Linked DNA regions of Danio rerio. The protein of the gene in region 2 interacts with the protein of the main gene of each other region in a biochemical or structural test. Links are inferred from orthologs where the notes say so. Each region holds a gene or a part of one and is shown on either strand. Other genes may lie near its edges.

Region 1 (4,827 bases), on a different chromosome or scaffold from region 2:
CTCCGCGAGCCTAAGGTCGCATAGAATGTATTCAGTTTCTGAATGGTTTAGGCTTAAGCCAACAGTTTGGTGACGCTGTCTGAGCCTTACGTCATAATTTTTTTTTATTACGCCGGATACCGGGGTAAAATATGGAGGCGGTTTGACGGTATCAAAATTTGGATACCGCCCAAGCCTAGCCGATACCCAATCCAGCAAAAATATGCAAGTGGTGCTCGCTGCAGAGCCATTTGAGGAGAGCTGAGCTCCAGCGAGGGGGAGCTTAAGCTTGAGCTCCACCTTTTTTGCACTTCTTCTGCGAGTGATGTCACTGGGGGTAGGGTTAGGGGTGGGGTTGGTGTACGCATTAAAACAGCTTACAGGAGGAGGAGCGACAGCTCATGCTCCCCCTCGCTGGAGCTCAGCTCTCCTCAAATGGCTCTTTATCGAACCGATATCTGATCCAAATATCAGGATCGGTGCATCCCTATATACTAGTGACATTAAGGTAACTACCTGGTAATAAAATTAGAATTTAGAAAAACTATTCATATATTGTTTGCGTGTTGATTTTTCAGCTCACCCATTTGGAGCTGTCCCGACACGGTCACAGATATCCATAATGAGGCCCCAGTCCTCCACTGTGTTGGTTTCACTAGTTGCTTTCTCTGAAAATACAAATGAGCATTCAAATGAGACTCTTAACGCAAGGTCATTCTAGAACCATATCAAAAAAACTGATAAGTGTTTGACAAACGTCTAAACCAGCAGGAGGAAATGTCTTCTCATTTACCATAAATGCTGTTAACAAAACACTAAAAAACTAAAACTAATAAAAACCACAATTTTAAAAAGAAAATCTTTTAGTTTTAGTTATCAGTTTTGCATCCCTGAGTTCGAAGGATAGGTTTATTGAAAATAAGATATGCATACCGTTAAGCAGTGACAGCCTGTTTTGCCTGTTATTTTACATTTACAGCTTGTCACAACAGGCACAACAGTTTCTGTCATAATCCACCAGCAGAAATTATTTGCCCCCTCCTTTAAGAACAAAGCAACTGGGCACATTTTTATGACTAATTCTTACTCGTAACAACGACGTCTTGAATTGCAACATCTAGAAAAGTACATATTCATGAATAAATAAATAAAATGAACAATAATAATATGCCTTAATTTCCTCCATAAAGGAACATACAGTTTCACACGTTTATATAAACTGAATTCTAAAAGGACAAAGCTTTGAAAATAAAACCAAAGATCATGCTATTGTGTGCTGTTAGGTTCCACGCCTTTTGACAACTGAGCTCCTATTAATCTTCCACCCATTCATGCTTACAAGAAATAAAAAATATAAATAAATCAAATAAAACATAAAATAAAACGTTTTTTTTTTTAAATCAGAAACTTTTAAAACAGGACATTTTGATCATAAGTATCAGCATAGTAATACATTATTATTTGTTATAATTACATTGTTTTAATTACAGTTATTTGTTATTATTTTATACTAAATTATATGAAACAATATTTTAATATAACATACAGAATAAATACCTGAATCTTAAGCTTACTAGAAATTAAAAATAAATATAAATAAATAAAATAAAACATAAAATAAAAACGTTTTTTAATTAAAAATGAACGTTTTGATCTTAAAATCAGCATGAATTATTATTAAAAATACACAATTATGTTTTATTATATTATTTTTAACTAGATTAATTTATTATTTTACACTAAATAATAATAAATAATATTATCGTAAACATCCAGAATAATAAAATCAAAGCATATAAAGAAAGTATTATTACAACTATTATTATTATTAAATTATTAAATATTAATAAATTATTATTATTAAATTATTATTACTTTTTTATATGACTTATTGGAGCATTAAAGAATTTTCATATTTCGTACTGAAGACCCTGCCACAAAAATATATATTTAAAAAATATTTTTGTCAGTAATCAAGCAATAAAATAAATTTAAAAACAATTTCAATATAATTTGAATCAAGGAGACATCCAAAAACAAAAAAACTTATGGTTTTGGTGTAGTTGTTTAAGGTTCCCTGTTTGGGCTTTTACTAACTTTACTTCATTGCCGTAGACTTCTATCAGTATGTTTTCGAATATCTTAATCTATTTGTTTATTACTATTCTTTTAATTATTTACTTTGAGCTGGCCTAATAGTAATAATAATTATAATATAATATATATATATATATATATATATATATATATATATATATATATATATATATATATATATATATATATACGTGTGTGTGTGTGTGTGTGTGTGTGTGTGTGTATTAAAATAAGCTTCTCCTGCTCACTAAGGCTGCCTTTATTTTTTGCCTTTATTACAGGACAAACTGTACAATTGTAAAATGGTATTGCACTATAAAATAACTGTTCAAAAGTACTTTATAATTTAATTTATTCATTAATTCCAGTGATTTTAAAGATGCTTTTTCAGCTTCATTACTTCAGAGTCACATGAGAAATCTCTCTAATATTAATTATTATGATTATTATTTTTTTATAATTAATGAAAAAAGTAATAAAAGCATTAATGAACGGAGTAATAATTTCATTTGAAACTACATACAATATTAACTAAAAAAATGAAGAATTTAATAAAAACTGACCTCAAACACTTGACCGGTACATATATATATGTGTGTGTGTGTGTGTGTATATATTTATAATTATCATTTGTTTTAGTATGTCTTTGTCGTTTATTCTTCAGTTTTTTATTCTTATTGTCACTATTATTGTTGTTGCCCTTATTACAAATATTAATATTATTCAAAAACCTGTATTCCTATATTTTGATTATTAAATGTATTTTCTTATGCACACTGCTATGCTGTCATCTACGTCATGTTTATTGTGTTGACATAATTCAAAATAAAAGAAATTTTGATGGAAAAAAGAATAATTTCAGCATTTAGTGTTCATCTAAAAAGTTCTTGAAATTCAAAACAACATCCCAAAGACACTGTCAGTTATCTATTTTACATTTGACAGCTTTAATAGTTAGATTTTGATAAATAAGTTATGAATGACCGATAAACAAAACAATAACAGAGCTCTTGAGGATCTTGCAGTGAACGGAGCGCTGCTGGATCGGCCCTTAGTTACTGACTTGTCAAGACCACATCACTTCGACAAAAACAACACTGCCAAACTCACCCACATCCTGATCGAACGGGTTTTGACCAAACAACGGCATTTTGTAACCTTTTCCTATGTGTCAAAGAAAAAAACTGAAGCGTATTATCTACGTAGATCGACGATTTATCCTTCTCTCATCCATTAAATTGCGTTCACTTCCACCAGTTGCTCTTCCGTAAACTTAGTAGACGAGCGCAATGCCTGCCAGAAAATACATCCAGGAAACTGTCAACATATTCTACATTTAAAGCAGCATGTTCACAAATTATATTAATACTCAAAATTTAACCAGTAAATTATTATACTTGTGCATATTTAAAAATATATATGTTTATATTTCAGACAGGCGCATAGGTTGAGTCAGAAGTGCGCTCTGACTTCAAGACTCGCACTGCCATCTAGCGGCTAGTTTAGATGTTTCTAGAACATCATAATTCACTTTAAATAATCTCAATATATTCACATACATTACTGTAATCATATTATTTTAGTTGTATTTGATGTAAATGCTTGCGAAAAAGACGACGCTAGTCTGTAACTGAAAAAACAAAGCATTGTTTACACTCTGTCCTCACCAGAGGGCGCTGGATTCATAAGCAGCTTTTTTACATGTCAGCAAGGCCACACGCCTTTATCCACCGGGACCATTGGATGATCCAGTCTTTCTAATGATAGTTCAGTCATGTCGGCACCTGCCATGGGGACCAGCAAAACAGCGCACAGTGAGTCCGGTCACAAGAAGAAAAAGGGCCCCGGAACACTGGCCACAGCATATCTGGTCATTTACAACGTGATTATGACAGCAGGGTATGGTGGAAATCAAATGCGCTTCCGTGCTTCTCTCTTCAAGCGTGTGTGTGTGTGTGTGTGTGTGTGACAGCAGAAATGAATGGTTGGATTTCTTCAGCCTGTATGACAGAATCGCGGTCACCTCCCCCATTGAGTCTATATTGTATTATTTAACACTGTTTAATTTGAAAGCTGAAACATTTCAACAAAGTTATTCTGCACATGTCTGCTGTGCAATCCAAATGCGGTGTAACGTAAAGCCTATTATCGCTTATTTAACTCGCCGTAGGGTTGGTGATGGGTGACAGCGAGCATTGGTTGTTGTTGCATGAATGCATTGTTCTTGTTTTACAGTCGCTGGTTTGTTTGGGCAGCGTTGTAACAGGGCTTGTAGTGAATTTAGTGTCTTTGTTAGTTTGAATGTAGCCTTGTATAGTTTGTAGACATTAGACTAGGCAGTGAATTAAGCGCACCTTAGACCTAGTAACCCAGAAACTGTTGCACAATAATGTCCGTTTCAGGAACTAATCGATTCGATTCGAGACAGCCGATTCGTTTCTAAATCACTCATCGTTGTTTTTTACATGAGCATATGTAATGTAAAGCTTATTTAGCAAATTCATGGCGAATGTGAAGCATTGGATATACTTTGTGACTATACTTTGCCTTAAATAAAAAAAAAAAAATAATGGATTTCTATTAATAAAATTATCCAAATCATTTGTTAAAATCACTTCTTTTAGTTTTTATTTGACCAGATTCTGTTGCATTATAATGATTTTATACAGCCGATTTATTTCTAAATCACTCATGTTTCTTTGACATGAGCATAATGTAAATATTGATAAACCTTACATTTTGAGCACTTTT
Region 2 (3,473 bases):
GGCTTCATTAGGGTAATTAGGGTAACGAGGCAGGTTAGGGTCATTAGGCAAGTTATTGTATAATGATGGTTTGTTCTGGAGACTATTGAAAACCAATATAGCTTAAAGAGGCAAATAATATTGAACTTAAAATGCTGTTTAAACAATTAAAAACTGCTTTTATTCTAACAAATAAGACTTTCTCTAGAAGAACAAATATTATCAGACATACTATGAACATTTCCTCAATATGTTCAACATCATCTGGGAAATATTTAAAAAAAAAAAGTGAAAAGGGGGCGAATAATTCTGACTTCAAGTGTATGTATGTGTGTATGTAAGTGTGTGTGTATGTATATGTGAATGTGTGCGTGTGTGTGTTTGTGTGTGTATGTATATGTGTATGTGTGCGTGTGTGTGTGTGTGTGTGTGTGTATATGAATGTGTATGTGTGCGTGTGTGTGTATGTATGTGTATGTGTGTATGTATATGCGCATGTGTGCGTGTGTGTGTGTGTGTGTATTCTTATTGAACTTCACAGCCACAAACCTAAAACACAAATTGTAATAAAATAAAAAAGTAATAAAACTGGGCGAGTATTAGATACTTAGAATAAGAATCAGATATGTGTTCTACAATGTAAATTTATATTCCTCTTGTCTGATTCCTGCACATTTATCACTCGCTACTCTGCCAGGAACTTCTGTGCTGGCAAACACCTTCAACAATAATCCAAACATTTGTGTAGAGATGGACCGCAGGATGTGTTTAAAAGTGGCTGCATGTGATAAAGACCGATGGCAAAGATAAGTCTAATTATTGTAATAAACTAATATGTTATAAAAGCAGGTGACACACATGGCGAGGCATTTGCGGTCGGTTCACATACTTCATGAACATTGATTTAAAAGAACACACCACGTTAGTTTCATTGGGCACAAGTGTTGTGCATTTTAGTTTAACTTGAGCGTGCTGAGCAGTTCAGTGTTACTTTTTAGTTAAATAAAGGCTTAATTTATGTGTGTTTAATGTGCTTTTAATCATTTTATTCTATTCAAAGCAGCATTCACAGACTCTTTATCCTTGAAATCGTGGCATGAGATGAGCGGAGCATGTGTTGGATGTTGTTTTTTTGTTTTTGCGCAACCAATTTCTGTTCATTTGCATAATGTTTTAAATCAAGCAAGTTTTTGCTAGCAATCAGAGGAGAAATGAACAGAAAACTCCACTGAACTTCCCTAAACACAGTCAGATTGCAGAAACACTGATCTCGACTGATCTGAGTCCTCATGTTCAAGTGGATCCAGAGTTCTGATACTCACAGACACGGCGTACAGGTTGTACTTCTTCAGGTTGTTTTTGGGTCCGATGACGTACTGCGACAGGTCCAGATTATCCAGAGGGAAATCCACCAGCGTCTGCAGCTTCTCCCGCCAGCGGCCCTCATATTTAAACCTGAGAAACACACACACACACACACACATTGTGAACATGATGTTTTCTGACACACTGAAGCAGAGGAGAGAGCAGACACTCACCGCTTCAGGTGCACCAGTAATATGGGCGGCAGCTTCCAGATCTGCATCCTCTTGATGGCGTCGCGGTGGGTCTTACAGTGGCGGCAGTAGAAGCGGTTACCGTCAGTCAGACGCTCTTCTTTATGAAACAGTTTCAGACAGTCCTGTGCACACACACGCACACACACACACACACTGGACGATCAGCAGAATGATTTTTGCTGATGACTGAATACTGACATCACAGTCAAACAAATATCTACAGATGAGGGTAATGAAGCTGCAGTGAACGTCATCCTCCAAACTAGAATATTTTAGTTAGCTCAACTTTTGAAAGAGGGAAACGAGTGTGTGTGTGTGTGACCTGCAGAGAGCACTTGCTGCTGGCCGTCATCTCCAGCGTCAGGTACATGAAGGTCTCGAAGGTGCGTGATTTGTGCTGGCAGCTCATGCACTGAACCGTGGACTTGAACTGGCCCTGAAACAGAGCCACGATGATGGACTCGTTCAGCTGCTTGTGTTTGGACCAGGCCAGATCCGCCGCGCTCACGTCGTCCAGATGCTCGATCTCCTCCTCCTTATAGCCCCTGCGCTTGTCCGCCTGATGAAGACAAGCAGAGCGAGAGTGTGTCGGTTAGTTTACATTAAATTGATTGTGTGGCAAGGCATCATGGTGGCGCAGTGGGTAGCACAATCGCCTCAAAGCAAGAAGGTCTCTGGTTTGAGTCTCGGCTGGGTCAGTTGGTGTTTCTGTGTGGAGTTTGCATGTTCTCCCAGTGTTGGCGTGGGTTTCCTCCGGGTGCTCCGGTTTCCCCCACAGTCTAAACACATATATAGGGAATAGGGGAATTGAACTAAAGTGTGTGTGTGTGTAATGGGTGTTTCCCAGTACTGGTGGCTGTGGCGACCACTGATAAATAAAGGGACTAAGCCGAAAAGGAAATGAATGGATGATGGTCTGTCTAGTGTGTTTGGTGTGTTCCTCTCATTGGGTTAACAGAGGACCACATTCATTCATCAGAGTGTTCTGATTGGCTATTCAGCAACCAATCAGAGTGCGAGAACAAAATATGAAGCGACGCCTTTTTTTGGCTGTAAACGGACATACAGCAGGACTGTGTGTGTGTGTGTGTGTGTGTGTGACCTTGTTGAGATCCTCATGCAGGCCGTCCATCAGGAAGAGCAGCAGCTCCTGAGAGTCCTGGTGCTCGTAGCTGGAGAAGCGGCTGTTGATCTTACAGATGGTGCCCTTAAAGTCCAGCGGGCTGATCATCTTATACTGACCCAACCACAGCGCCTTCATCACCACGCTGAACTCCTCCGCCACCTCGCCCTTATGACCCAGGATATTCGCCCTGAAACCAGCACGCAAGGTAAACCATTACACACACACTGGCTCTGCCCTAGATCGACAGTGAATGCGAGTGTTTGTTGGGCTGTGGTGAATGTGGTACCGGTTAATGTCGTCCTGATAGTAGTTCCTGTTGAAGTAGTCCGCCATGGCCACGGTGTTGCACAGGCACTGCAGGATGGAGTTCATGTAGCAGGTGTTCCCCAGGTTGCGGAGGCCCGTCAGCAGCGGCCCCTGGCCTCCAAACACTGGGTTCAGGTTGCGGATCTTTGCTGCAGACGGACGCGTGATCTCCACCTTCGCATATGTGCTGGCAGCTAGAGGCCTGCGACACACACACACACACACACTTTTAGCACGGCACATTCATGGAGAAAACACTGCACAGTAACACACTTGTTTATAAAGTGATCATCATATAATAACGATAATGTGATTATTCATGTAGATCTCAATCATTTACTGATATTATTAGATGTACATTACAGAAGGTCATGCTATTATAATCTTGTGAGTGTGTGTGTGTGTGTGAGTGTGTATACTTGTTCTCTCTGTTGATGCTGGGCACTGCAGCGGGTCTCTGTCTGGTCTCTGCGCTGAGCTCCTGGCTGATGTCTGGAGAGGAG

The links. The genes of interacting proteins can lie anywhere in the genome.
Region 1: the proteins of usp8 (region 2) and stam2 form a complex in vitro, tested with the Homo sapiens proteins (3 studies listed by BioGRID, with this or other methods). The link is inferred for Danio rerio from reciprocal best matches to the Homo sapiens genes USP8 and STAM2.

Annotation. Positions count from the first base shown.
Region 1 is NC_133184.1:39,754,626-39,759,452, reverse strand, and holds the start of stam2 (signal transducing adapter molecule 2), read right to left. Parts: upstream 3,352-4,827; 5' UTR 3,227-3,351; coding exon 3,187-3,226; intron 648-3,186; coding exon 563-647; intron 1-562. Other genes in the region: hacd2 (very-long-chain (3R)-3-hydroxyacyl-CoA dehydratase 2), read left to right, coding at 3,851-3,975.
Region 2 is NC_133193.1:226,721-230,193, reverse strand, and holds part of usp8 (ubiquitin carboxyl-terminal hydrolase 8), read right to left. Parts: coding exon 3,390-3,473; intron 3,173-3,389; coding exon 2,951-3,172; intron 2,852-2,950; coding exon 2,641-2,851; intron 2,098-2,640; coding exon 1,861-2,097; intron 1,661-1,860; coding exon 1,518-1,660; intron 1,435-1,517; coding exon 1,302-1,434; intron 1-1,301. UniProt on the Homo sapiens protein: Hydrolase that can remove conjugated ubiquitin from proteins and therefore plays an important regulatory role at the level of protein turnover by preventing degradation. Converts both 'Lys-48' an 'Lys-63'-linked ubiquitin chains.